Macaca fascicularis: one gene and its partners. The protein of the gene in region 2 interacts with the protein of the main gene of each other region in a pairwise test. Links are inferred from orthologs where the notes say so. Each region holds a gene or a part of one and is shown on either strand. Other genes may lie near its edges.

What was found.
Region 1: the proteins of GOLGA2 (region 2) and SCAF8 interact in binary tests that used the Homo sapiens proteins (3 or more experiments, as listed by UniProt). The two-hybrid records come from large-scale screens. The link is inferred for Macaca fascicularis from reciprocal best matches to the Homo sapiens genes GOLGA2 and SCAF8.
Region 3: the proteins of GOLGA2 (region 2) and NDN interact in a two-hybrid assay, tested with the Homo sapiens proteins (2 studies listed by BioGRID and IntAct). The link is inferred for Macaca fascicularis from reciprocal best matches to the Homo sapiens genes GOLGA2 and NDN.
Region 4: the proteins of GOLGA2 (region 2) and PRKAB2 interact in binary tests that used the Homo sapiens proteins (3 or more experiments, as listed by UniProt). The link is inferred for Macaca fascicularis from reciprocal best matches to the Homo sapiens genes GOLGA2 and PRKAB2.
Region 5: the proteins of GOLGA2 (region 2) and C1H1orf35 interact in binary tests that used the Homo sapiens proteins (3 or more experiments, as listed by UniProt). The two-hybrid records come from large-scale screens. The link is inferred for Macaca fascicularis from reciprocal best matches to the Homo sapiens genes GOLGA2 and C1orf35.
Region 6: the proteins of GOLGA2 (region 2) and RAB39A interact in binary tests that used the Homo sapiens proteins (3 or more experiments, as listed by UniProt). The two-hybrid records come from large-scale screens. The link is inferred for Macaca fascicularis from reciprocal best matches to the Homo sapiens genes GOLGA2 and RAB39A.
Region 7: the proteins of GOLGA2 (region 2) and NXT2 interact in binary tests that used the Homo sapiens proteins (3 or more experiments, as listed by UniProt). The two-hybrid records come from large-scale screens. The link is inferred for Macaca fascicularis from reciprocal best matches to the Homo sapiens genes GOLGA2 and NXT2.

What each region holds. Positions count from the first base shown.
Region 1 is NC_088378.1:63,117,890-63,121,475, reverse strand, and holds part of SCAF8 (SR-related and CTD-associated factor 8), read right to left. Parts: intron 3,527-3,586; coding exon 3,370-3,526; intron 1,460-3,369; coding exon 1,326-1,459; intron 1-1,325. UniProt on the Homo sapiens protein: Anti-terminator protein required to prevent early mRNA termination during transcription. Together with SCAF4, acts by suppressing the use of early, alternative poly(A) sites, thereby preventing the accumulation of non-functional truncated proteins.
Region 2 is NC_088389.1:15,723,287-15,727,540, reverse strand, and holds the end of GOLGA2 (golgin subfamily A member 2), read right to left. Parts: intron 4,099-4,254; coding exon 3,853-4,098; intron 3,769-3,852; coding exon 3,693-3,768; intron 3,269-3,692; coding exon 3,162-3,268; intron 2,909-3,161; coding exon 2,690-2,908; intron 2,603-2,689; coding exon 2,500-2,602; intron 2,418-2,499; coding exon 2,311-2,417; intron 2,234-2,310; coding exon 2,077-2,233; intron 1,990-2,076; coding exon 1,775-1,989; 3' UTR 542-1,774; downstream 1-541. UniProt on the Homo sapiens protein: Peripheral membrane component of the cis-Golgi stack that acts as a membrane skeleton that maintains the structure of the Golgi apparatus, and as a vesicle thether that facilitates vesicle fusion to the Golgi membrane.
Region 3 is NC_088381.1:5,296,524-5,299,953, forward strand, and holds NDN (necdin), read left to right. Parts: upstream 1-1,250; 5' UTR 1,251-1,338; coding exon 1,339-2,304; 3' UTR 2,305-2,877; downstream 2,878-3,430. UniProt on the Homo sapiens protein: Growth suppressor that facilitates the entry of the cell into cell cycle arrest.
Region 4 is NC_088375.1:113,062,465-113,066,503, forward strand, and holds the start of PRKAB2 (5'-AMP-activated protein kinase subunit beta-2), read left to right. Parts: upstream 1-1,197; 5' UTR 1,198-1,243; exon of another isoform or gene 1,244-1,503; 5' UTR 1,504-1,526; coding exon 1,527-1,682; intron 1,683-4,039. UniProt on the Homo sapiens protein: Non-catalytic subunit of AMP-activated protein kinase (AMPK), an energy sensor protein kinase that plays a key role in regulating cellular energy metabolism.
Region 5 is NC_088375.1:86,009,746-86,014,031, reverse strand, and holds C1H1orf35 (multiple myeloma tumor-associated protein 2), read left to right. Parts: upstream 1-1,456; 5' UTR 1,457-1,555; coding exon 1,556-1,649; intron 1,650-1,729; coding exon 1,730-1,880; intron 1,881-2,090; coding exon 2,091-2,136; exon of another isoform or gene 2,137-2,218; coding exon 2,219-2,301; intron 2,302-2,386; coding exon 2,387-2,459; intron 2,460-2,603; coding exon 2,604-2,689; exon of another isoform or gene 2,690-2,989; intron 2,990-3,292; coding exon 3,293-3,427; intron 3,428-3,507; coding exon 3,508-3,628; 3' UTR 3,629-4,004; downstream 4,005-4,286.
Region 6 is NC_088388.1:106,968,753-106,972,338, reverse strand, and holds part of RAB39A (ras-related protein Rab-39A), read right to left. Parts: intron 3,346-3,586; coding exon 2,919-3,345; 3' UTR 1-2,918. UniProt on the Homo sapiens protein: The small GTPases Rab are key regulators of intracellular membrane trafficking, from the formation of transport vesicles to their fusion with membranes.
Region 7 is NC_088395.1:116,105,024-116,109,363, reverse strand, and holds the start of NXT2 (NTF2-related export protein 2), read right to left. Parts: upstream 2,832-4,340; 5' UTR 2,809-2,831; coding exon 2,714-2,808; intron 2,052-2,713; exon of another isoform or gene 1,943-2,051; intron 1,752-1,942; coding exon 1,667-1,751; exon of another isoform or gene 1,571-1,666; intron 1,489-1,570; exon of another isoform or gene 1,293-1,488; coding exon of another isoform or gene 1,281-1,292; intron 647-1,280; coding exon 560-646; intron 1-559. UniProt on the Homo sapiens protein: Regulator of protein export for NES-containing proteins. Also plays a role in mRNA nuclear export.

The DNA of each region.
Region 1 (3,586 bases), on a different chromosome or scaffold from region 2:
ATACTTCTACCTAACACGTATGAAACAACTGATTTTCCAGTCATCCTTCCCAAAAGAACTCTTCTCACAGTCTTTCCCAGTCTCAGTTAATGGTAACTCTATCTTTCCAATTTCTTGGACTAAAAACCTTGCCTCTGCTTTTGCTCATAATAATCCCAAATCCAATCACACTAGGAAAAGTCCTGTTAGTTACAACACCTTCAAAATACACCTAGTATCTGACCATTTCTCATTACCTCCACTATTTTCTCATTACCTCCAGTGCAACAGACACTCCAGAAGTCTATTCTGAGCCATCACCAGCTCTCATCTGGATTGCTACAACTGTCTTTTAACTGGTCTCCCTACTCAAAGCTCACTACAGCCTAGTCTCAAAGTAGTAACCAGTGCAATTCTTTAAAACTGTAAGCCAGATCAAGTCACTCCTCTGCTCAGAATCCTCCAATGGCTCCTCATCTCTCTCTCTTTTTGTCACATGTAAAGACCCACCATCCTCATCTCATTCCAAGTGAAAGCCAAAGTCCTTAGAAAGATTTATCTTCAACTAACTTGCCTTTCACTGGCTTTATTCTAGCCCACTTAACACTCCTGGACCACACCAACATATTCCTGGTGTGGGACCTTTGCACTGGTTGTTGCCTCTGAACAGAATGTTCTTCATCAGATATCCACATGGTTAATTCCCTTAGTGCTTTTAAGTCATTGCTCAAATTTCTCATTTTCAATTAGGTCTATCCTCACCATTCTATTTAAAATAGATCAGCCTTATGCTACCTTTTTCCTTCCATAGGATCTCATAATCATATTTATTTTACATTTTCTGTCACCACTATTGAGAATAAAAGCTCCAAAAGGGCAGAGATTTGTGGGGGTTTTTCACTGATACCTAGAAGAGTGTCACAGAGCCAGTACTCAATAAATATTTGTTCAATAAACATATTTAAATACGAATGACATCATTTCTAAAAATAATTTTTCAAAAAGTATTTGATTAAACTCATTAAAATAACTTACTGTTCTATCAATTTGACTCCTCAGAAAAACATGAATCTAAAAAAATCCTGTGAGTTCTCAGAAACAATATTTCCATATTTATCTTTATTTTAATGTGTTAAGCACAATGATACCACAGCATTAGCAGACTTTTTTTTTTTTCCAAGAGATTTAAAAGAAATATTCTTTTCCCTAAAACTACTGACAACCATTTATTCTGATATGGAGATTTTCATTCCGGTTTGATAAAGTAAATACATGATTAAAAACAGAAATGTAAAAGAACACATTAAGGAAAAAAAAAAAAAAAACAGACCCACTTCAACACTAACCTGCAACATAGCAACAGGAGGAGGGAAAACCTCTGCCTGGGTTGTGACCACTGTCTCCTTTTCAACTGGAGTTGGGCTCTGAGTTGTCTGGACCGTCTCTTTAACAGGTTCTGAGCTTTTCACAGTTTCCCACTCTAAACAAAATATTTGAAATTGATTTCCTTTGGATAGGTGCAACTTTTCATTTTCTTCTTTGTATTCATTTATTTCACATCTAAATTCTTCATCTACCTTGGCACATCTTTAAGATATACCCAAAACTGTAGGTGCCACTCTAGACTTCTGCCCAGAATAATCTGATTAGGATACTATGGAGTTCAAAAAACCATGACACTTGAGACACAAAGGAAAGACACTAAAATATTTCATCTAAAGAAAACACTTAGAAGGGATATAATAGACACGTATATCTCAATGGCTGGCTGATATAAGAGGAACTAACCATATTCAATTTTTTAATCACAAAATACAACAAAGGAAGACCAACTAGAAGAGTATTAATCCAATACAATGAAATCCTTCTGAAAACACAGCTATGCAAAAAGAGAACAAAGAAGCTCTAATGGTTCCTCTCTCATGCTTCTCCATCTCATTCAAAGTAAAGATCAAGATTTATATGACTTTGCCCCTCTGTGCCTATCTGCCTTGATCTCCTACTACTCCTTCCTCACTCACTCTGCACAAGCTATACTGGTCTCCTTATTTTTGAATACAAACATGGCACTTGCTGTTCCCTCCGTATAGAATGCTCTTTCCCCAGATGGCTGCATGCCTTACACTTCCAAATATCTCATCTCCATTAGATCTTCTACAAGCACATAAAAACTGCAACACCTCCACGCCCACATTGCCCATCTCCCTTCCCTGATTTTTTTTCTTTGAACTTACTGACACTAAAGTACTATATTATTTATCTATTTTGTTTATCTGTTTTCTTCACAGATAATGTGTGAAACATGCGCTAGTAAACTTTATAGCATTTGAGGCTTTATGGGCCATGTGTTCTCTGCTGCAAGTGTTGAACTGTTATTGCAAAAAAAAAAAAAAGTAATATAAAATAGGTAAACAAGTGAGCATGGCTGTGTTTCAATAAAACTTTACAGAACAGGCTACCAACAGGATTTGGACCATGGATAGTAGGTTGCTGACCTCTGCGCTACACTCTACAAGAGGAAGAATTTTTGTCTATTTATCTCACTGCTATAATTCCAGTTCCTAAAATTAGGCCTGATACACAGTACAAAGTAAAATATTTACTAAGTGAAGATACTGGAATAAGCAGCCATTGGCGCGGGTGGGGTGAAGAGTAGGCCTGACAGGAAGAATTTAATAGAAACAAAAATGGTTCAAAATTTTGCATTGGTCTGAGAAACAAATATTCGGAAAATTAGCTAATTCTGATAAACGAGCTAAGGTGTGAAGAAAAAAGGTGTGTATATACATTCCAGTTCTTTTTCAAATGTTTAGATTTCCTATTGGTTATAACTGCAAATCATTTTGTCAATTTTTAACTGAAATCTTTTAAAATAAAAAGACAATTTTTGGGGGAAAAAAAAAAAAGCAGGCTGGATGATCATTTGGTATTGTAAAAGGCATCCCAGAAAGTATTTAACATTGTATGAATCTGAACCTCCCTAAACTAAGATTCTATTCCTGCTATTTTCAACATGGATACTACTCAAAATAATCTGCAAAGTGTTTCAAAGAAACTTCCCAAGTTCCCACTTAAACTGAAGCAATCACAAATATTTAGTTTTAAAAATCCCTCCTACACACAACTCTCAAGTATAAAAATGGAAAAAAAAAAAACTCATACATTTAAAAATGCTACATTTATATAGACTTCCACACTTTCTAATCTATACTTTGACATCTATGAAATAGGTCCCATTAAGCATGTACACTAGGGCACAGGAATGTATCTTTTCTCTTTTTTGGGAGATGAATCCAGGATACACAGTTAATGCTATCACCCCAAATTCATTTCGGCTACAACCTTCTAACCATACTTTTTTTAACAATAAAAAGACCTTAAAATTCTTACCAGTATTTACAGTCTCCTGATCAATCATGCCTCCTTCTGCAAAACCTTCCAAGTCATCCACTTTAACTTTTTCCCATGGTATATATGTAACTCCAAGATCCACATCCCAGAATTGTTTGTATTCTGTTTTTACACCTTTGTTTAAAGCCCAAGCGATCTATTGTAAATGGGAAGAGGAAAAAAGAAAGCTTATATACACATACTATAAAAACAAGGT
Region 2 (4,254 bases):
GTTCTCTCTGGAGCTCAGGGGAGGGGAAGGGCTAAGCCATTACTAGGGTGCTGTTGGGGGCGGTAAAAAGACCACATCCTTTCCAAGGGACACTTTTCCTGGAAAGTCCCTGGAGCTTAGTTGGCTCTCACCCTGTGAAGCCGGCTCTGGCCACTAGGGGGCAGGGCCATTAACTCAGTCTAGAGGGAGCCTGCGGGGTGGCCAGCATTCTGGGGAGGGACAGACAGAACAGGCCACCAGGCTCAGGCAGGCGAGGGAGGCAGGAGGGCAGAACAGAAGACACCTTGGGTGCTGGCACCCTGCCTTCCCGGCCACCGCTAGATCAGGCTTCTGAGCCTGTTGGCCGTCAGGGCCGAACTGTCCCCATAGGTACCATGGTAGTCCCTGTGTAATCCCCTAGATGTCACCAGGCAGCATACCGGTAACAGGCCTGGAAGGTCCCAACAGCCCACATGCGCAGGCTCAGACACTCTGGGGCTCCCCGTTCAGTGGCACAAACTCCAGAACCCAGTGAGAAACAGGAACACGCCAGGCGGAGCAGTATGGCTAAATCCATTTATTCCGAAATAAAAAGCAAAATAAACAGGAGTTGCATCACCAGGGTGCCACGACCCCATCCCCGCCTCCTTCCTCTGTCCTATGCTATCAATAAATAAGTTTCCCAGCCCCAAATAATTATTAGAACCTCCTCCCCATGTGCCAGCTCCAACCTCTGCTAGGTATGATACAGGGGGCTGCCCTACCCCTGGAATATACAAAATGTTACACAGATACAATATGTACACTGGGGAAGCGGGGCCACCCCAGCAGCCCGTGCCCTCACCTGGTCTACAGTTAACCCCACTGTCCTGCCTCAGCTGCCTCTCTGTGTAAGAAGATGGGAGCCCCCCTGAGGGAAAAATTGCTTTGGTGAGAGTAAGGAGGCCATCAGGCCTCCTCCAAACAAGTCAATTCTATGAGCCTCTGGCTATTAAATAACAATCATCATCATCCAGAAATTTAAGGAATCAGCCCTGGCCAAGGTGGCAAAGGCTCTACACATTTGTCTCCCCCCATTAGACAGGGGTCTTATTTGCTACTGTAAGAGTAAAGGGGTGACTGGGAAGGGGTGGCAGGGACATGATGGGGGCGGAGCCTCCGGCCCCACTTCTCCAGGCTTTGCTGACAGTGGCCTGCTTTTTAAAATTTTTATCCTGACTTTTTTTTTAATCCCGTGTTTTTTGTTTTTTTTTTTTTGAGACAGAGTCTCATTCTGTCGCCCAGGCTGGAGCGCAATGGCGCCATCTCAGCTCACTGCAACCTCCGCCTCCCGGGTTCAAGTGACTCTCCTGCCTCAGCCTCCTGAGTAGCTGGGATTACAGGCACACGCCACCATGCCTGGCTAATTTTTGTATTTTTAGTAGAAACACGGTTTCACCATGTTGACCAGGCTGGTCCTGAACTCCTGACCTCCTGAACTCCCAAAGTGCTGGGATTACAGGTGTGAGCCACTACGCCCGGCCTTTTTTCATAACTTCTATACCATAACTTACCCATAACCTTCTTTATCCCATAACTTCTTTTAATCCCATAACTTTAATTTTTTTTTTAAGTTTAGTGGCCAGCTTTTAGATGACAGTGATCTTCACCTCATCTGCACCTGTCTACCCCCGTTAGACAGGGGTCTATGCTTGCTACTGGAAGGGTAAAGGGGTCACTGAGGGGGTGGTAGGGATATAGTGGGGGCAGGGTCTCCAGCCCCCCTTCTTCAGGCTTTGCTGACAGCGGCCGGCTTTTAGATGACAGTGATCTTCACCTCATCGTTCTCGTCAGCCCGGTAAAAAAAAGGAATGCAGGGGTTGCTGCCCAAGCCTGGGCGCTCCCGGGGGTTCTGCATCTCACGAAGCAGCTGCATGATCTGCTGTGCAGTGGGGTTGTCACGGGGAGAGCCCTCCCTGGCCTCTCCTTGGGCGGCCTCCGCGCTGCCGGTGAGGCTCACCTCGCAAAGATCTTTGGAGAGAGAGAGGCAGGGCTCTGAGCGCCACGCAAGCCCTCCCTTGCTCCTGCCTGCCCACCCCTCCCGAGGGCTCTACTCACCACCCTGCTGGTCGGCAGCCCCAAGCTCCTGGGGGGCTGGGGCCCCTGGAGCGGGCTCATGGGCAGGGTTCTGGGCAGCTGCCAGGAATCTGCCATGCCACTCGCTGCGGTCGCCCACAAGCCGTAAGACCAGCTCCTGCAACTCCAGCAGCTTCACCTGGAGGGAGGGGTGCTAAGCTGCCATGCCTGTGCCCGTGCCCACCTCCACCCCCACAGAGATGTTCCACGCCCTACCTTCATCTCCTCCTTGTCTTGGGCCAGCCTGCTGATATACTCCTCCTTCTCCCGGTGCCGCTCCTTCAGCACTGCCCTCTGACTCTGGTACAGTGCGATGTACTCTCCTGCGGAAGGACAGGGCTCAGATACTGGGTTCCCTCTGACCACTGTGCAGCTCCTCCTGCCGTGCCCTGGCCTCCCACTCACCAATGGTGTCTGTCTCTCCAGACAGCTGGATACAGCGATGTTCCAGTTCCTCTACCCTCTCCTTCAGGTCCGCCTTCTCCTGCATGAGCTCCATAAAGCGGCTCTGGAACCAAAACAATGGAGTCACATCTTGGCAGCGACCAGCCCCGCCCCCACCCTTCTTGACCCATGCCAGGAGAGACTCATTCACCTGCAGCTTCTCCATGGCCCCCTGCAGGGCCCGGTGGGTTTCCCCACACACAGAATCGCCCCCAGTCCCTGGGGCCGGGGCTGCCACCTCAGGCTCCTTCTGGGCCAAGGCCAGCAGGTGAGCCAGGCGCCGGCAGCGCACCCTTTGCTCCTTCAGCTGCCCACGTAGCCTTGCCTGCTCCTCCTCGGCACTGGCTACAGCTGAGTTGAAAAATGCCACCTGCAGGAAAGAGAGGTGCGTTCTTGTAGGAGGATATATAGGACGAACAGGCAGGGAGGTAGAGAGCAGCCCTTCCCTTGGGGCCTCAGAGGCTGCACTTGTTGGTCCCAGGTGAAATGGGCGTCTGACCACTGGCTCCCAGGAAAGCGGTGAGTCTGAATAAATCAGAAGGCCGGGAAACCAAGAGCAGAAGGGGGTCTGGGAGGGACCACAGAGGGAGACAGCAAAGGCCAGGGAGGGGAGTCAGCCTTACCATGGCTTCCCGGCTCTCCAGGTCCTCCGGGATGCTTGGCATGGGCCGAGGCGCCGCCTCCACCTCCTCCTCCTCTTCTTCCTCCTCCTCCCTGTCCAGTCCATCTCCTGTGGGGGTGGCCAGAGGGGTCATCAGACAACCCAACAAGGGTACAGTGTGCCCACCTCTGCCCCCACCCTCACTGTGTAACCCTGGGCCAGCCCCTCCCCAGAAGGGAATGAGCAGCTTTTTATTTTATTCTTTTTTAAGAGCCAAGAGCTCGCTATGCTGCCCAGGTGCAGTCCCACTACCGATCAGCATGGGAGTTCTGACCTGCTTCATTTCTGACCTGGGCCAGTTCACCCATCCTTAGGCAACCTGCTAGTCCCCTGCTCCCAGGAAGTCACCATAATGATGCCGAACTTAGTGTGGACACCCAGTTGGCATAATGACCAGCTGTTCTAAAGGTCTCTTCCAACTCAATTCCACACTGCTAACAGTCCCCCCTTCCTCCTGGGGCTCTCTCCTCTTCCTGTGAGCAGGTTCCCGTACCTTCCCCAGGATGAGCCATGAGGCTCAATTGGGACCGTAGCTGCTGGTTCTGCTGGGTGACAGATTCCAGGCGCTCCTAAGGGGCCAAGAAAGAGAGTGAGACGGCATGGAGGTTGCCAGGTCATCCCCCTCGGGGCCCTGCCCTCAGCAACTCCCTCACCTGGGCTTCCTGCAACTCTTGGCGGGCCATCTCGGCTACCGCTTTGCCCTGAGCTTCCTGCTGCTGCAGCTGGTCCACGAGCTGGGTCTGCAGCAGTAACTGGTTGTGCAGCACCTCCTTCTCAGAGGTTAGCTGCTGATAGGTGGCCACCTGCTGCTGATAGGCGGCCACATACTGCTGCAGGTGTCCCAGGTACTGGTCTCGCTGCTGCTGTAGACTCTGAGCCTCTTGGCTCTTCAGCTCCACCTGTAGGAAGACCCTAGGCGTGAGGGCAGGTGGTGTACTGCTTTCAGATTTGGGGCCCATAAATAGGGTAGCGAGGGCTCTGTGAGGCTCTGTTGCCTGCCCAGACCTCTGGCCCCTTGCTCCAGGCCTAAGTGACTGCCTCCCTTGCCTAGAGCC
Region 3 (3,430 bases), on a different chromosome or scaffold from region 2:
ATAAAGTGACAAGTGGGAAAAGATATATACTCACAGCGAGGACTCTAGACATGTTAAGACAATTTTTAAATGTGCTTTTGGCTTCGAGTGGCAATAATTAGACTCAACATATTTAAGAAGCTACTGATGAGAAGAAACCCTGGAAGCGCTGAAGGACCACATCAGCCCAGACCAAGGATGCTGAAGCAGCATCAAGGCCCTTGGTTTCAGAGGCTCCACCAATGACCCTTTTTTCATGGAGAGCCTGTAGGAGCGAGTTTTGTCTTTGCCCAGTGGGAATCTGTCTTCTATACTTGGAAAACAGGGTTACCCATGTTGCCCCTGCTACCCTTGGGTCATCTCAGAGACACTACCAGATATTACCTATGAGACCTAGTTGTTTTTTTTTTTAAATCTCAGGAAGGACTTGGGTGTGGCTTCCAACGTGGAGGACTCAGTAGCTTCAGAGAGGGTCCTGGGAGAAGGTGAATCGGAGAATAAGGGTGCTGGGCAGAGGGAAAAAGACATTATCATACAAGTTTGTGCTAAAAGATATAGCAATCCTTCTGCTATGGACTAAGTATGGAAAAAAATAAAATGGAATCAAAGTGACCCAAAGGAAATGTAAAACCCAAATTTATGCCCACTAAAGCATTAATGATGCTCTAAGTCCGCTGCCTACTTAAAAGGTTCATAGTTCACATGGGTTGACAGGAAATTACGTTAAGGACACGCTGCATTTCTCCTTTTCTTACAACCCCTCTGATTTGGTAGGGAGGGAGTCAATCATTTTTTATTGGAATTTCTCAGGATTCCAACCTCAGACATACACTTTACACATTTTCTTGGACAAGCCCGACTGTTCCTCTCACTCGTTCGCATAAAGCTCAAGTTTACACAGCCGCCCAGACCTTTCTCTGGGACGCTCATATTTAACTTAATTCTGGATATATCAGGTAAGCGTTTCCCAAGAAACTTGACCCCAACATCCCAAAAACTTAAGTTATCATCTTTCTCCTAAACTGGCCCCTTCTCCAGTACGCATCCATCGCACTCTTCTCCTGCCCTAGATCCCCTCAGCCCAAACGGGAAACCCCGGGATCGCTCTCTCCGCAGGTGAAGCTTAGCCAGGGACCCTCCCCGTCGGGGCTCCGCGCTGCCCCGCCCGCCCCCAGCCGCTGGCCAAGGCCGCAGTCGCGCAGGCGCAGTGCCGCGTCCCGCCGCCGCCCCGCCCTGCCCGCCGCTGCGGAAGGCGCCGCGCACAGCAACGCGCACTTCCTCTCCAGGAATCCGCGGAGGGAGCGCAGGCTTGAAGAGCTCCTGGACGCAGAGGCCCTGCCCTTGCCAGACGGCGCAGATATGTCAGAACAAAGTAAGGATCTAAGCGACCCTAACTTTGCAGCCGAGGCCCCCAGCTCCGAGGTGCACAGCAGCCCTGGGGTTCCGGAGGGGGTTCCTCCGTCCGAGACCCTGGCAGAGCCGCAGAGCCCTCCTTTAGGCCCGACGGCCGCCCCGCAGGCCGCGCAGCCTCCCCAGGCCCCGAGCGACGAGGACGACCCGAAGGCCCTGCAGCAGGCCGCGGAGGAGGGCCGCGCCCACCAGGCCCCGAGCGCGGCCCAGCCCGGCCCGGCCCCGCCAGCCCCGGCGCAGCTGGTGCAGAAGGCGCACGAGCTCATGTGGTACGTGCTGGTCAAGGACCAGAAGAAGATGATCATCTGGTTTCCAGACATGGTGAAAGATGTCATCGGCAGCTACAAGAAGTGGTGCAGGAGCATCCTCCGGCGCACCAGCCTCATCCTCGCCCGGGTGTTCGGGCTGCACCTGAGGCTAACCAGCCTGCACACCATGGAGTTTGCGCTGGTCAAAGCGCTGGAGCCCGAGGAGCTGGACAGGGTGGCGCTGAGCAACCGCATGCCCATGACAGGTCTCCTCCTCATGATCCTGAGCCTCATCTACGTGAAGGGCCGCGGCGCCAGAGAGAGCGCGGTCTGGAACGTGCTCCGCATCCTGGGGCTGCGGCCCTGGAAGAAGCACTCCACCTTCGGGGACGTGCGGAAGCTCATCACTGAGGAGTTCGTCCAGCAGAATTACCTGAAGTACCAGCGCGTCCCGTACGTGGAGCCGCCCGAGTACGAGTTCTTCTGGGGCTCCCGGGCCAGCCGCGAAATCACCAAGCTGCAAATCATGGAGTTCCTGGCCAGGGTCTTTAAGAAAGACCCCCAGGCCTGGCCCTCCCGATACAGAGAGGCTCTAGAGGAGGCCAGAGCTCTGCGGGAGGCTAATCCCGCTGCCCACTGCCCTCGCAGCAGTGTCTCCGAGGACTAGCCAAGTCTGGAGGCAGATGAATGCTTTCTGATCCTCACCAGGGCTGTGGAAGGGTGGGGGTGGGTCATTAGAGTGTTCAGGATTTACAGTGCAGTATTCACGTGTAACTTTTACGTTTCCAGTACAGTGCTTTTATACCTTTAATGCAATGTTGTATTCATTTGGGTACTATTGTGTAGTATTTAGGATGTATGCATGTTTGTTTATATGTAAGCTTGGTTGGTGCTTTCGCTTTTGTGGTACCTTTCTTGGATTTTTGTATCAGAGACGTGCTAAACTGATGAAGTACATTGAGAACGTTTCCATCTTATTAATTTACATGGGACTGAGATGTGTGTTGGGGTAGACTGCTCCTGCAGAGTTTGGAAAAACTCACCAGCAAAGCCGGCCTAACCAAGAAATGTCAAGGCCCTCATGACCTTGCTGGGGACTGAAAACATCCTCGTGGCGTAAACTAATTTGAACTGGACTGGTCTCAATGTGAGAGCACTTGGCACACTTTACTAAACACATATACAACCCCACCGTGAGTCAACTTTAAAGTAAACATTAAAGATTCTTGTGATACAATCATTTCTGGAAGTGTACGTTATCATTTTAACAAAGCAGTATGGTTGGGAATGAGACAATTCTCTGTTTTACAGTATACACAGATATAACTGTTTCCCCTAATGGGGTGGGAAAAATCGCTACTCATGATTACTCCTAAATTTGTGAAGTTTGTGGTTTTGTCTTTAACTCATGTTTATTTCAAAAACATGCACAAATATAGAAAAGCATAAAAAACAAAACAGTAAGATTGTCCATAATCACATCCTATGGGAATAAAAACCAAAAATAATTTCCTTAAGTTTCTACATTTTATCAAAATTAATAGATGCTTTGTGGGCACTTAAAGAGTGAGACATTGTACATGAGCCCTGACGTGTATTTTTCTCCTTTTATCTAATCCTCACAACAGGCCTGTCAGGCAGGCAAGAACTGCCTCTGCACCATGGAGGAAACACAGGAATAATGTAGGTAATGGACTTTCCATAGCTCATACAGGTTAATAAGAGAAGGCGCTAGGACTAGAACTCACAATGAATCCAGAGTCCACATTTGTCCCCACCTGCCTTCAACTCCC
Region 4 (4,039 bases), on a different chromosome or scaffold from region 2:
CGACATGCAAATACTTCTAATACAAAGGTAAGTACCTTAGGGATTCCACTAATTTTCATAAAAAACCTGGATCCCTCCCAACCCTACGACTGTCTTTGCCTTTTTTATACCTTTAGGGTTCCTTCTGATGTTTTCGTTGTCGCCATCTTCCTTGAATTTTATTTCTTCTGAGGTTTCTCACTGCGTATGCTGTTTCTTAGACTAGGAAAGCCTTTTCGTTATTCTCCTAAGACTAACATTTTACTAATTTGTCAAGGTCTAGCTCCTAAATACGCCATCTTGAATTTTCCCTGCGACCCCAGTCGGGCTGACAGCTCCTTCCTTGTCGCTCCCTATTGAGCAGGTTTTTCTTGTGGGGGGGGGGGGCGGGGAGGCGGAGGGACGGAGTGTCGCTCGGTCGACAGGCTGGAGTGCAGTGGCGCGATCTCGGCTCACTGCAACCTCCACCTCCCGGGTTCAAGCGATTCTCCTGCCTCATCCTCCCCACTAGCTGAGACTTCCGGCGCGCGCCACCACGCCCAGCTAATTTTTGTATTTTTAGTAGAGACCAGGTTTCAACTTGTTGGCCAGGATGGTCTTGATCTCCTGATCTCGTGATCCGCTCGCCTAGGCCTCCCAAAGTGTCGGGATTACAGGCGTGAGCCACCGCGCCCGGCCAGAACAGTTTTAACCTCCAGCAATGGCCATTGCTTCCTTCTGCCTGCAGTTGGAAGTCAGTTTCGGTTTTCTTATTCCCTGTAAGGAACCCCCCTCTCCCGTCGCCTAACACACAGATGCTGCCCAGAAAACGTGCTGGCGCACCTAAGGCGGGGTGGAAAGCCGCGTCGCTTCTCCCGGCACCGAGCGCCGGAGCCCAGGGAGGCGGCCTCCGAGTGTCCTGTTGGAACGTCCCTTCCGCCGGGTAGTCTCAGAGGCCCAGCGCTCCAATGATCCCGGGTGCAGTCTCCCCAGGCGGCACAAGCCCTGCCTGGCGCCCCCTCCTGGCGCTGGAGGCTGCGTGCGACTGCCCACCATCGAGGCGGCGGCGGCTAGAGAGGCCGGCGGGCCCGGGACGCCGAGGCTGCAGGCCGCAGGGAACGCGCACGGGGCCGACTCCGCGCCGCCGGCCTTGTAGCCATTTTAGGAGGAATCGCTGATCGCCAGCGAGGGGTGCGGCTTCAATTTCAATAACTTTATTGGTGGCCTGATCTGCAGAACAGTCATCACTTCAGTGGTCCCTGGAGGAGGGAGCGCATCGCCCGAGGTGACTGGCGTGGGGGCGCCCCTGGCAGTGAGCGCGGGGACGCGGGGGAGTCCCGATAGCGGGTTTCCTGACTAGGGGCAGCGAGGGCACCGGGGTATTTGCAGGCATTCCCGCAGGCCAGGAGGGAGAAGGCTCCGGGGCTTGGCTTCCCTGGGGCGGGGAAATCTCTTGCCCTGTCCCAAGGCGTATGGGCGGGGCCGGGGGGCGCCCCTGACGCGGCTACTGAGGTGTTCCCAGCCCGGTGTGGTTCTCCGCGGTAGGTGGTCCCCGACGAGCTGCAGCCATGGGAAACACCACCAGCGACCGGGTGTCCGGGGAGCGCCACGGTGCCAAGGCTGCACGCTCCGAGGGCGCAGGCGGTCATGCCCCGGGGAAGGAGCACAAGATCATGGTGGGCAGTACGGACGACCCCAGCGTGTTCAGCCTCCCCGACTCCAAGGTAAGCGTCCCACGCCCGCAGTTGGTGGCAGTACTGCAGCGGGTTGATTTCCGGGCTCCTCTTCCCTTTCTTGGTTCTTTTCTGCCGCGCGGAACCGGGCTATGGTTTTTTGAATTAAAAGGATTTTTCGGGGACAGAGGTGTTGGATGGTAATCCCTCTTGCAGTGCCGCCTCAAAATAGGATAAAGAGGCGGAGTTCTTGTTTTCCTGGTGTTCTGACTAATCTGTTGGCCACATTTTTAGGATGGGGACAATAGACATCCCCGATCCTTGGTTCTTCCTAACATGCACGAGTGGCTCTCCTCTATAGCGTTGCTGAATTTGTAGTTTGTTAGCCCTGGTGGACAACTTCAGAGGGTAGGTTGCACGAGTTGCTGACCATAGGTGGTAGTTTCTCACCTTTGCCCTGAGGTGGCTACATGAAATTCTTTTTCTGAAAATTTCTATGTATCAGTATCATTTTTGCCCTCCTAGCAGCTCTGCACTTGTGATCTTCTTCCCTTTTGGCACGGCTGTAAGCAGCAACTACTTGCTTATTGAATAATTTCCCCTAGTCTTGGGGATCAATTAAGGACATCATTTGGTTGACTGCTTAATTTTTGTCCCATACTTTATAGTTGTGGTGGCTGAGGCTGTGCCTCTTTCACGCCCCGCTGCTGCTCCGCAGGTGGAAGAGCCAATGATTCCACGACTTGTTTACTCTCCAGTAGTACTTCAAAATGTTGCGTGGCTAAAAAGCGACAATCCATAGCTGCCTTGAAGACCTTGCTCTCAATTCCAAGGACTTTCAGGAAGAGCCAACTTGTTTTTTCACTCTGTAAGAAAGGACAGATGGAGCTGATAGCAGCGATTACCATTCTAATGTTTCTAATCGCTTTTAGAGCTGTCAGCATGAAATACATGTAGTTTCTCCAGGTAGACTGACTGGATGAGATAGAAAAATGGAGGGCTTGAGGAGATTGGGGTGTGTTTGATGTTTCCTATCATTTCGTCACTTCCCAGGGAACTGGGGCTTTAGAGAGTGAATAGAGTATTATTTGTCATATTGGTAGCACGTGGAATTTGGATTCCATGATTTATTTCCTTGGATCTCAATTGATAACATCGTCACAGCCGGGCGCGGTGGATCACGCCTGTAATCCCAGCACTTTGGGAGGCCGAGGCCGTTGGATCATTTGAGGTCAGGAGTTCGAGACCAGCCTGACCAACATGGTGAAACCCCGTCTCTACTAAAAATACAAAAAAATTAGCTGGGCGTGGTGGTGCATGCCTGTAGTCCCAGCTACTCGGGAGGCTGAGGCAGGAGAATCGCTTGAACCTGGGAGGTGGTGGCTGCAGTGAGTGGAGATCCAGTCACTGCACTCCAGCCTGGGCCACAGAGTGAGACTCTCAAAAGAAAAAAAAAAAAAAAAACAAACCATAATCACAGAGAAGTGAGAAGTGAGAGTGATTAAAAGGAGCACTTATTGGTGTTTATTCTCCATTCTTATTTGGGCTATCTACAAGCCATCTGAATTTACGTATTCAAAGCTTTCGAAAGATGATCTGCCTCATTATATTTTTACCCTTTTCCTACGCTGATGACTCAGGATTTAAATACAGTGTATTTGTTGAACTGTGACTGCAGTAATTGGTGTCCTGATTAAAAGCCAGGTTGCTCTGTCTGAACTGGGGCCTATTTTGTATTATTCTTATCTCTCACATCAGTCTTGGCATTTGTGAATTAAGAAAATTATTCATATAATTTTCAGATTGTCTGAAAATTAGTTCAGATAATTCCTAAGGTCTCATTTAAATCTAATATTTTATAGTTCTCAATCTACCCTCTTTACTTCTAACCTCAACATTTTACTTAAACATCAAACTGTAGTTCTAATTGTTGTTTTGCCTCTTTTCTTGGTAGTTTTGCTGAGTAACTTGGAGTAAATAATCTTTCTGCTCGTCAGCCGCATTCATTCCTACTACAGAAATGTCATGTCATAAGTGGAAGGGCTTTCCTCCAAGGCTAGGCATATTAATAGTTTGTAGCTTTCAAATTCTAAACTGAAAATCCTGTCATAAAAGTAACTGATAGAAACAGTGGTAGGGGGGCCTACTTTGCTTGAATGCCTGCCTTTTTCAGTGGACTAGCTCAGTGGTTCTCAATCCTGTTTGCACATTAGAATCACCTCAGATTTCTTTACATACTTTTTGGAAATTTTTAAACATTGTCAAAGTAGGGGGAAACAATATAATGACATCTATATACGTGCCACCCAGTTTGAACAATGATCAGATCTTGAATGAACATATAACATCTATACCCCAGTCCACTATTCCCCCACTAGTTATTTTGAAGCAGATTCCCAGACGTTATA
Region 5 (4,286 bases), on a different chromosome or scaffold from region 2:
TCCCACAAGGGAGTGCCCCACACCATGCTGAGATGGGGCTGGTTAGGATTCTACAGAAAGATTGAGCATGCCAGGGTAATGCGCCCAGAGCATTTATTAGCAGGGCTTTTGTACAGAGTGGGCTGCAGCAGTTCTTGCAACGGGTGGTGAGAGAAATGAATGTTCTCTCTAGGTATGTCCATGGGGAGGGGGTTGTCGAATGGAGTTTATATGAGGGTTTAAGGAATCTGGCTCAGGCTGGGTCCAGTTTCTTTCTGTGTTTTGAGCAACAACCTAGATGCTGTCATCTGTGCCTGGGAACGTTCATGGCTATGGCTCAGGTTCAAGTCTGCAGACGAAATTATACCGTTGGCGAGGTCACAGAGCGGCTAAGGGACTCTGTTTCTTGGTCACCACTGGGAATGAAAGTGGAAAGGTGAAGCAGGGGGATGCCACAACCTCCAAAATCAGGGTGCCCATCATGCTGAGGTTCTGGGAAGGGGTCTCTTCCAGACTACAGACTTCCCGCTGCCTTCGCACAGTGGAAAGCTGCACAAAGCTCTCGGGTCTCTTTTATGAAGGCTCTGTCGTCATGACCTAGTCACCTCCGAAGCACCAACGCCTTGGGTTGGGGATTTCACGTGGGAGTTAGGGTGCACATTCAGTTTACCACAGCAAGGATGGGACCAGTGCTCTGAGGGTGTCTGGGTAGCTGCTGGTTCATCCAGAAGTTTACTGGGTAATACTCAGAAATTCCACAAATCATTAGGGCATTACCTTGTTAAGCTCCCCATATGGAATCGCGGCTGGCAGTGACCAATTGGCGGTGTTAGCTAGGCGCATCCTGTGTGTTTTCTTTTTTTATGAGACAGGGTCTCGTTCACTCGCTCAGGTTGGAGCGCAGTGGCGCGATCTCCTGGGCTCAAGAGATCCTCCCGCCTCAGCCTCAAAGCGTTGGACTACAGGCGCGCAAGCAAGCGCGCGCCTGGCCCATTTTAACTTTTTTTTTTTTTTTTTTTTTTGAGACAGAGTCTCGCTCTGTCGCCCAGGCTGGAGTGCAGTGGCGCGATCTCGGCTCACTGCAACCCCGCCTCCCGGTTCAAGTAATTCTCCTGCCTCAGCCTCCTGGGTAGCTGGGATTACAAGTGTGCACCACCACACCCGGCTAATTTTTGTATTTTAGTAGAGACGGGGTTTCACCATGTTGGCTAGGCTAGTCTGGAATTCCCGACCTCAAGCGATCCGCCTGCCTGGGCCTCCCAAAGTGCTGCGGGAGCCACAGCGCCCAGGCCGGTTTTAACCATTTTTAAACGTACAGTTCAGAGGCGTTCCCGCGCTGGGCAGGATAGGCGCAGTGCGCAGGCGCCCAAAGCCTGCTTGAAGGTGACGCGCGGGAGCACAGAGCCGGGGCGGTGCGCTGCGCAGGCGCGCGGGGCGAAGCCGGGTGGGCGCCGGGTGACGTCACGGCGCGCGACGCGAAGGCGGGGTCGGGCCTGGGTCCTACGGTAGTGGGTACAGAGGGTCCGGGGTTGCGGGTCGCAGGCCGCAGGCCCCAGGCAACTGCCTCCCGGGCGCCATGTTCGGTTCCAGTCGCGGAGGCGTGCGCGGCGGGCAGGACCAGTTCAACTGGGAGGACGTGAAGACTGACAAGCAGCGGGAGAACTACCTGGGTCCGTGGGCGCGGTGGGCGCGGTGGGCGCGGCGGGCGGCCTCCCGGGGGGCGCTGGGCTCACGGCGCCTACGTCCGCAGGCAACTCGCTGATGGCGCCCGTAGGCCGCTGGCAGAAGGGCCGCGACCTCACCTGGTACGCCAAGGGCCGGGCGCCGTGCGCGGGCCCGAGCCGCGAGGAGGAACTGGCAGCAGTGCGGGAGGCGGAGCGGGAGGCGCTGCTGGCCGCCCTGTGAGTGTCCGCGGACATCAGCGGTCGGTGCTTGGGACTTCGCTGCCGGGGCAGGGTGGGGCCAGGGGCGGGGGCTGGGGGTCGGGCTGGGCGGGGGCGGGGCTGCGGGGACTTGCGCGGGTGGGACCCTCAGGATGAAGGCTGGAGTGGTGAGGACCCGTGGTGGGAGGAGGTCTGTCCGTCCTGACGCCTGCTCTGGTCCTCTCGCAGTGGCTACAAGAACGTGAAGAAGCAGCCCACGGGCCTGAGCAAGGAGGTAACTCCCTGGAGTGGGGGGCACGTGGAGGGCCGTGGGTGTGGGGCCGTCCGGAACGCTGCCTGTGCTCCCGCACCTGCAGGATTTCGCGGAGGTCTGCAAGCGGGAAGGAGGCGACCCCGAGGAGAAGGGCGTGGACCGGCTGCTGGGGCTGGGGAGCGCCAGGTGCGAGCAGGTTTCCAGGGGAGGGCAGAATTGCTCGGGTGAGGCGGGCCCTTGACGGACTGTCTTCATCGCCGTGTTCCTGCAGTGGCTCCGTGGGCCGCGTGGCGATGTCCCGAGAGGACAAGGAAGCCGCCAAACTGGGGCTGTCTGTGTTCACGGTAATTCCCCGCCCCGCCTGACCGCAACAGGGGCCAACAGGGGTGGCGCAGGGCGGGGGCACTGAACGTAGCTCCCCGGGGCACTGCGGGGCGTGGTGTGGGGCCGGCCCTCAGACTCTTCCCCAGAGCGCGATTCTCCCGCAGCATCACCGCGTAGAGAGCGGCGGGCCCGGGACCTCGGCAACCTCGGCCAGGAGGAAGCCGCGGGCGGAGGATCAGACGGAAAGCAGGTGAGGCTGCACCTACTGGGCGAGCTGCGCGCCGGAGGGGGTCTCGGGAGGACCTCAGCGGCTCCCGCTCCGGCAGGTGGCAGCTTCTCTTGGCGCACCGGCCCGGCCGGTGGCCTGCCCTACTTTACTTCCTGTCCCACTTACTCCTAGGTTTTTCTCTAGGGGAGTTTCTCGGGTCACCCTTGAAGAGAGGTCCTAAGTACTGGCAGTGGTCGCGGGCTGCGCCGTGGGAGGGCGCTCAGGACCTGCGGCGGGGCCTTTTCCTTCCATGGGTGGCACCTCCAGGGCTTCTCTTGGGTGGTGAGCCTGGGCCTGACCCCAAGAGTGGCCTGGTGGGTGCAAGTAGGAAGGTGTCAACCTGTCAAGGGCACAGCTGGGGTGTAACAGGGCCGTGCTGTGGAGATAGGGATATCGCATCAGTTTCTAACCCAGGGCAGCCACTGGCCACGTGACTGCATTACTGAGGAGTGGAATTGGTAGTCTGATTTAACTGATTTAAAGACGCACTTGTGGGTGGTGGCTTCATCTCCTGGTTGGGGTCTGTGTTCACTCTCTTGGCCTGCAAGACTAGGGTCTGAGGTGCGCCTTGTATCCTCCTTGTAGCTCTGAGAGCCACAGGAAAAGCAAGAAGGAGAAGAAGAAAAAGAAAAAGAAGAAACACAAGAAAGAGAAGAAGAAGAAAGACAAAGAGCACAGGCAGCCAGCTGAGGCTGCCTCCTCTCCCACATCTCCCGAGAGGTATGCCCTGGTCTATGTCTGCCTCTTGTGGGTGGGAGCCTGGTTGACTCCTTCTGAGTGACTGCCCTTGGTCTCCCCAGGCCCAGGCACCACCACGACTCCTATTCCAACTCCCCCTGTTGTAAGAGGAGGAAGCGGGGACACAGTGGGGACAGGAGAAGTCCGTCTCGCAGGTGGCATGACAGAGGCTCTGAGGCCTGATGGCTGGACCCTGCTCACTGCTATTGTGGGACCCTGAACTCTCCCTTTGCCTTGCTTGCCTCCTGCCTCGGAAGCCCCTCGTGTGTGGGTGAAGCCCGGGGCTGCTCCTGTGGAAGTGGCTCTGGGCACCAGCCTGTGGGGCTAATGGCTAGACAGCTAGCTCTGGAAAACCTCCAGGTTTCACATAGCGGGGATGGTCCCTGGCTTGCCCTGTGAAGGTGAACCTGCCCAGAGGTACCAGTAGAAGCTGGACTCCCTCTGCCAGTAGAGACAGCAGCCATGGGCCTATGAGCGGTCTAACTGTGGCCAAGTATGGTGACCTCTATTTTTCCTTACATTGACTCTTTGTATTTCAATAAATATATTTTAAAAGGAAGGTGTATCATCCTAATTGGAAGGTCAGTGTCAAGAGTTAAATGAGATCCCACTGGGAGGTTGGAGCTGGGGTCTGTCTTCCAGGAGTCTGAGGCCTGGTGATTTTTTTTTTTTTTTTTTAGTTTCGCTTTTGTTTCCCAGGCTGGAGTGTAATGGCACTATCTCAGCTCACTGCAACCTCTGCCTCCCAGGTTCAAGCGATTCTCCTGTCAACCTCCTGAGTAGCTGGAATTACAGGCGCCTGCCACTACTCCCAGCTAATTTTTGGTATTTTTTAGTAGAG
Region 6 (3,586 bases), on a different chromosome or scaffold from region 2:
CCTCCACTCAATACACACACACTAAGCACAGCGTGGTGAATAAGGTGCTAGGAGATGAGTTCTAGGCTTCCTTCTGTTCACGCCTTGAATTTTGGACCCTGCCTTCCTGTTTTTATTCTAGTTCTTTAGTTCTGTTTTAAATCTTGGAACACATGATATCCTTCAGCCCAAATATTAGTCCCTCCCGACATTAGAATTATAAAGGGCGTCCACTGAAATTTAAATCACATTTTATGTTTTAGCTATTTAACTTTAGAAGTAGGCACAGGTGACTGTACTTTCAGCTGCTGTTAGATTTTCAGTGTTTGGGTTTATGCCATTTTGGACCGATGGGAAATTGTCATATAAGATTGAAAACTGTAATAGTAAAATGGACTACTTCACATTTTGGGGGACAAGTATTTTCTCATTTGGTTAATTATGGTTTGAAGTCATGTGAAATTAACTTAAGGATATCAAGAAAATGCTGACAATATAAATAGTGATACCGTATATAGTTATAATTTATATTCTCTCCATAAGCACAATTAAAAATACATGAACTCAGAAAAGGTACAAGTATTTGAAACTACAATTAAACATCTATTTCAAAGATGCACAAAAAGTACAAACGTGACTTTTGATTGGGTTAAGACTGCAGGAACGTCCCTCTCTATTATTTCCACTTCGCGGGAACAATAGCTCAAGGGTAAAAAAAAACAGAGGAAGCTGGCGCGGGGGCTCATGCCTGTAATTCCAGCACTTTGTGAAGCCGAGGTGGAGGGATCGCTTGTGCCCTGGAGTACGAGACCTATACTCTGGGCAACACAGGGAGACCCTTCTCTACAAAAAATAAAAAATTAGCCAGGCGTGGTGGCGTGTACCTGTGGTCCCAGCTAGCAGGAGGCTAAAGTGGGAGGCTCGCTAGAGACTGGGAGGTCCAGGATGCAGTGAGCTGATCATGCCACTGCACTCCACCCTGGTCAACAGAACGAGATCCCTCCCTCTCCTCCCCCGCCCCCACAAAATAAGCTAGAGGATATGCATCAATCAAGAATTCCTACGGGTCCACGAAAACACACATCTTTTTCTACTCCCTCTGTATAGGAATGAAAGGAAAAATTATGAGAAAACAAAATTCTCACCCGTTGCAAATATAATAGTATGCCCATGAGCAGCATATCATTCTCAAATCTGTAAAATGCTTACTCTATTTACAAAGCGTTTGTTGCATGATTCACTAGATTCTCAAAATAATTTTCCATGAAACACACTAATGGGTTATTAGCCTAATTTTACAAATAAGAAAAATGGTTCTTAGAGAGGTCAAGTGACTTACTCATGGTTAGATATTGGTAACCAAGTTTTCTGGTTTCTTATCAAATATTCTTTCTACTATGCCCCTTTGGTTTTCAAACAAATGAAGCAATTAAAGGTTAAGAGTAAAAACTTTATGACTCCAAAAAACTTCACTTGGTACTCTTTTGTGATTAAGAAGTGTACAGGACAGAATAGAAATGTACATTATAAAATATTTGACACTATGATCAAAATATCCCTTCCAGGAGAGTTTAATCAATAAGTTAAAAGTTAGGAAACTCAAAAGTCATTTTACTGTCTTAATTGATTATTCTATCTTCACTTGTACTGATGAGATTGTAAAATGCAATATGAAGGCTAAATATATCAAACATCTAACCAATATTCCTTGCACAGAAAAATCTTTTCTGCATTCTTTTCATATTGGAAATGAGGAAATTTGGAAATTTACTTGGACAAAAATGCTATTATTAAAAACATTCTATGTTTACCTATATTAATAATTTTGACAATAGTTCAAGGCAAATTGCATTTACTTTCTTTGAAAATGTCAATACATAAATAAATTTAGTTTTTCTTGTCTAAATATGAACAGTACACTGTAACAGCAAAACATTTGCTGCTGATAGGCCGGGCACAGCAGCACTTTGGAGGCTGAGGTGGGCGAATTGCTTGAGGCCAGGAGTTGGAGACCAGCCTGGGGAACATGGAAAAATCCCGTGTCTACTAAAAATACAAAAATTAGCCGGGCATGGTGGTGCACATCTGCAGTTCCAGCTACTCAGGAGGCTGAGGTAAGGTACTGACAATCACCTGAACCCAGGAAGCAGAGGTTGCAGGGAGCCAAGATTGCCCCACTGCACTCCAGCTTGGGTGACAAAACAAGATCCTGTCTCAAAAAAAAAAAAAAAAAAAAAAATCAACATTTCAAACATTTGGTGAGCGGTCCTCTGTTTTTAATTTTACAAATATTTGCTTAAAATAGTGTGCTTGGATCCTTTAGATATATTTGTAAAACATAATGCATTTTTAGAAGCAATAAATTAGAGAACAAAAATGAACATAAAACTTATTTTCTTGTGTTGAGGCAAAATTAAGGGAGGGCAAACATTTCCAGACAATGGGGAGAAAACCTGGTACCTTATACAAGGAACTGCTATTTACGTCCTAGTCGATACTTCTGAGATTGTTTATTCTGCAGGTGAACAGTACATATTTAAATGCATTTTGCTATTCAATATTAATTAACTCAAGAGAATGTAATTCCTAATAAAATCTTTTCAATTGATTATATATTCACAAAAATCCATTTGAACTGTCAAGAAAAATGAGTAATATTGACATAGCTGGACACTAAGGTCAGCATATGCTAACGAAGTGAGAATGGAGGTACTTTCAAGAAAAAGGTTGTCTGCTTTGCTTGACAATTTAGCAAAATACCCAGTCTAGTAGTGTAACAAGTAAGCATAGCGCTCTGAATCAAATACCTTACAAAATAGTATTGGTGTGGGTTTGTAACCTTTTTAAATGCTTTTATTGCATCATTCTGCTGTTAATGTTGGTATTTATCCTGAAATGACAGCCAATCTGTTCCTGTGAGTTCTTTGGCACGTTTGAAGTCAGCAGAAGCACTCTTTCCTGGGCTTTACTGCTTCCTCAGAAGAATGCACAGTATTTGGAACAAAACCACTTTTAACCCCTTCCCAGCCATCCTGAATACAAATTTCTCCCTTTTTAATAAGTTCATATATGTCTCTTGTCAAGATTGTGAAGGATTCTTCAACATTTGTAGCATCCTTTGCTGAGGTTTCTATATACTTCATTCCACAGTCTGCTGACAGTTTTTCAGCTTCTTCCCTTGTAACTTGACGTTGTGAAGCTAAATCACATTTATGTCCCACTAGCAGAAATACAATCCGAAACGGCTGTACATACATTTTTGCTTCTTCTAGCCAATCTTTCACATGTTCAAAAGATCGCCGGTTGGTAATGTCAAATACTAAAAATCCACCAACTGAGTTGCGGTAATAAGATCGGGTTATTGATCTGAAAAATAAACAGAAAAAAGGTTGTATAAGGACAACTTGTTCTTTTTCTTCTCCTTCCAACAATCTAGCACCATAATAACATTTGAAGATATCTTAATATGATTTAACTAGAATTTATAAATAAAATATGAGGTATCTCAAGTGAACAAAAATATTCTACAAGACTAATATGCAAGTTTCATACACTGACAGAACACGAAAGTAGCAGTTATTTTTAGATAGACAAATAAGCACTTACA
Region 7 (4,340 bases), on a different chromosome or scaffold from region 2:
CAATGAAAAAGCTGATGAAATCTCGATCTGCTGAGGACTTAATATTATCCATGCTACATGCATACTTTTTGTGGGTGTAAGCTATACTTCTGAACCATAATCAGAAATTACCTATAAATATATGAAATAAAAGGGACGAATCAGGAAATATTCCCGGTAATGACCGACCCCTCCATTAGCACTAATACTACCTTAACCATATTGGTTAACTGATGGAACTAAGAAAAGGAAACATATTTAAGTGAATATATGCTGGGCCCAATGTTAAGTGCGGTATTTTAATTAATTCATACTTACCAACCTGAAAAGAAAATGAGGTTGAGGGAAAATGACAGCTTGCTCCAGGTTAAAAAACTAGGTAAAGGTAAACCTGGGATATGATTCCAGAGCCCATGTTCCCATGAATGCCATACCAATCCTTCCCTGAGCAATTTGCTTTTAAAGGGTAAGTCCACAGTTACCACTTATGCAAGGCAGATGAAACGCTGGCTCCAGACACGACCTGGTATTTAATAACAAGTAGTAGTCTAAAAACAGTAGTAGAGTCTATAACACTCACCCGTCTTCTTTTATCCATTGTCTCATAGTAAATATTGACAAACTCCTCAGCAGCTCTACATGCCTGATCTACATAAGTTTTAAAATCCTACAAGAAAAATTCCGGAAGTATAGATTACCAACCGTTTCAACCCCTCACAAACACAAAACCACTGACAGAAGCTGATGATTTATTTCAACCACCATGTAGTTCTATATATAGTCCACATTCTTTCATATAAATTCAGACATTTTAAAGGCTGGACTCTAAAGTTTGCAATTTTAAAATTTTTCACTAACTTTAAGTGCATGTCTTTAGGACATAATCTTCTCAATGAATCTGAGTCTTTTTCAGTCTCTACATATAAATTTATAATCTTTTCTTGGCAACTAAGTACTTTAGACTTTCAATATTTTACAAACATTCACGGCAATGAAAATGACACCACCTGACCCTTAGAAAAGGAGAGCGAGCGGCGAAAACTGCCACTGAATAAGCTAGGCAAGTGTTTTCTCTTTTCCAAGTGAGATGTTAGGGCCAAACTCCAAAGTTGTTGAACGGAACACACACACACACACACACACACACACACACCCCAAAGTAGTTCAACTACTTGAAAAACTGGCAGCTCCACTTAGGAAACTTTCCCACATTACGTGAACTTTCACTGCTGTTTGCATAAGAACCGTGAAACCGAAGAAAGCAACGCTGTTGGCGTTCGTGCCGGAGAATTAAGGAATACCTTCCTTCTCATTCATTTACGGGGCCCAGTCTATTACAGAATTAAGAACAATGAATCGCCAGTTTGTCAGGTAACTGAAAGTGATTTTTAGAGAGGAAGATAATCGAGAAAAAGAGACTGCAAGCCATAAACAACAAACCCCAAACCCCCGCCTCTCGCTATTTCGCAGCTCAGGGTCCTTTCCGGGACCAGAAAGCGACAGCAAAACAGGCGGGGTTGGGGCCGGCAAGGCGGGCAGCAAAACGTGGGCCCCGCCCCGCAGTACAGAGAGCCGGGCCGTGATTCGTCACCTATCCACGTGAGCAGCAACCAGACCGCCCCGGAGTCCCTCCAATCAGCCACTGGAGTCCGGCGCCCAGCAGACCTGCCACAGCCCAAGCACTCACCACAGACATGGCCATCGGGGAGCCTGCAGCAGCGTGTTCCGGCAGTGGCGGCGTCACTACCTCCTCACGTGTCCGGCCCCCACAGCTGCGGAATGATCAATACTTATGAAGAGAGCGAAACCCGCCAAACGCACAGAATTTTCCACCCTCCCATTCTCTCCCGGAAGTAGCTCGGTCCGTCGTTAAAAGCACACCGATGTTCCAACCTTAAGTTCCACCGCCCTTCAGTTCCTGCAGATCCCTCCCATCCGCCTTATCTACTTGTTTGATACTTACTTAGTTTAAAATTTAAAAACCACTTCGCTTTTGTAAACATGATACTCAAAAGGAAAGTCCCTTAGTTTTCTACCGACAAGCCTGGGGACAAGCAAAAATGAAAGTGTTCAATTACAGGGACTTTTTTTGCCCCAGGAGGCGGAGCCAAAGTCCTCTGGAGACCAATTCGAAATGCGAGACCTCCTATTCCGTAGCCTATAGGATAAATGGGCGGAGCTTGGGGAAAGGCGTGCATGAATAGTGAACAATTTAGCATTCTGGAACATTCTGGAAGGATCACCCTCACTGAATTACTATGTTTTGGCAGTATGCCTAAAATTACTGTTTCATTTTAACCTAGCCATATTCAACAGGAAAAGTTCATCTAGTTTCCCCATTCTGGCATTTTACAATGTCTTGCAGACACCAACAAAAATTAAGTTCACAGTGCCATTCACCACCTTTTAAGGGCTATTTATTCTGCAAAGTATTCTAACAATAACTAAAATGTGAAGCGCTGACTGTATGTAAGGTGCTTTTCTAATCAGTTTTACATATATCCACTTATTATAACAATGCTGAGGTAATTGCTATTATTTTATAATCTTCATTTTACAGCTAAGATGGAGTGAATCTGCCTACGGTAACAGACTAGTTGAGATTCAAACTCAAGCAATATAACTATCACGGCAATCTGGCTTTGCTCCCCAACACCCCTTAAAAACCTCTCATCCCAAAGCCGCCAACGACTTCTGATTTAAATGGCAAATTAATTAGATGTTGTAGTTTTACCTTGAGTGGCTGGTGTGTGGTCCCTCATAATAGTGACTTCTTCTTTGGTGTCTTTCTCTGTCTCCCTGAGACCAGTGGCTTCTGCACTTTCTCATACTTTTAACCTTTCTCTTTATCTGGCTCTTTTCCTTTTAAGGTAGTGCTAACGGAAGCTGCTTCTCGGCCACTCTGCTTCCGTTTTCCGCTAACCTAACCTCTGACTGGCGTCACTTCCGGTGCATCCCCCCTTTTAAAGCCTCCCTTCTTCAGGGTGATGTAAATTGCTACCCGTATGCTAATGAATCTTAACAACCTATCCCAAGCCCGCACCGCTTATCTGAGGTCCAGTTACACATATGAATTTTGCTAAACATGAACACGAGTGCACTATAGGCTTCTTAAACTTGTACGTGCAAAATTTAAACTCATTATTTCCTCTGCACTTCCAAACTTTTGTATTCTCCCAGTCGCCTATCTTGAATTCTCGGAATCTTTATTTTTTTGGTTCCCTCTCCTCCTTATCATGATTCATTCAATAAATATTTATCAAGTAGTCACTGTGTGCCAAGGATTGTGCAAGGCTCTGTATATATAGTGGAGAATAAAATGGACATGTTTCGTATTCTTATGAGGCTCAAAGTGTAATGAGAGTGCTAGACAATAAACATAACATCAATGAGTTACAAAGAAATACTGAGTAACTTGCTTAGTTCTGACCATTCCCTATAGCAATCCTTCTACCCTTCTCCCTCTTCCCTTTTTTTTTTATTTCTTTTTTTTTTTTTTTTTTTTTTGAGACGGAGTCTGGCTCTGTGGCTCAGGCTGGAGTGCCGTGGCATGAAGTTGGCTCACTGCCAACCTCCGCCGCCTGGGTTCGAGCAATTCTCTTGCCTCAGCCTCCCGAGTAGAGTAGCTGGGACTACAGGCACGAGCCACCAGGTCCGGCTAACTCTTTTCCTTTTTCTCCCTCTCTCTTTTTGGCTCTCTCCCTCCCTTTCTCCCCCACACTTCTCTCACTTTTCCCGTCTCGTTCTCTCCTCCCTCTCTCCCCCCGAACTTCTCTCCCTTTCCCCTTCTCATTCCCCCTCTCATTCTCTCCTCCCACACAAACTTTGATAACTCTATTGCCTATTTTCTTCCAAACTCATAATCTTTAAATACCTACCTTGGTCTGATCTGAATTTATTTTCCCAGGCTATTCTCCCAAATTCACCAACACTGGCAAAGTTAACTACTACTGGTTGCCAAGAATGACTGATGTTTACTGCTTTATTGGTGATTGTTTTTCTTGATTGAGAGATTGTGTTTTATATGATTTCATTCAATCCTCAAGACCCCCAGAAAGGCAGACATTATTATCTAGATTTTTTAAAATTTAAACTTAAGTTTAAAGAAGTTAAGTAAATTGGTTAAGATGATACAGCTAGTGGGCCTGGGATTTCCCCCCCAAACTTTCAAATCCCAAAGTCTGCTTTTAGACACTTGGCTATTCATGCATTTACTTATATATTCTTCTTTTGGAAGGTTCCCTCCATTTCTACCTGTCCTTCAGGGACCAATGTAGCAGGACGAGCCGCAGACAAAACTCCTCAGACACCGGATTAAAGAAGGAAGAGGTTTTTTTATTTGGCCGGGAGCATCGGCAGAC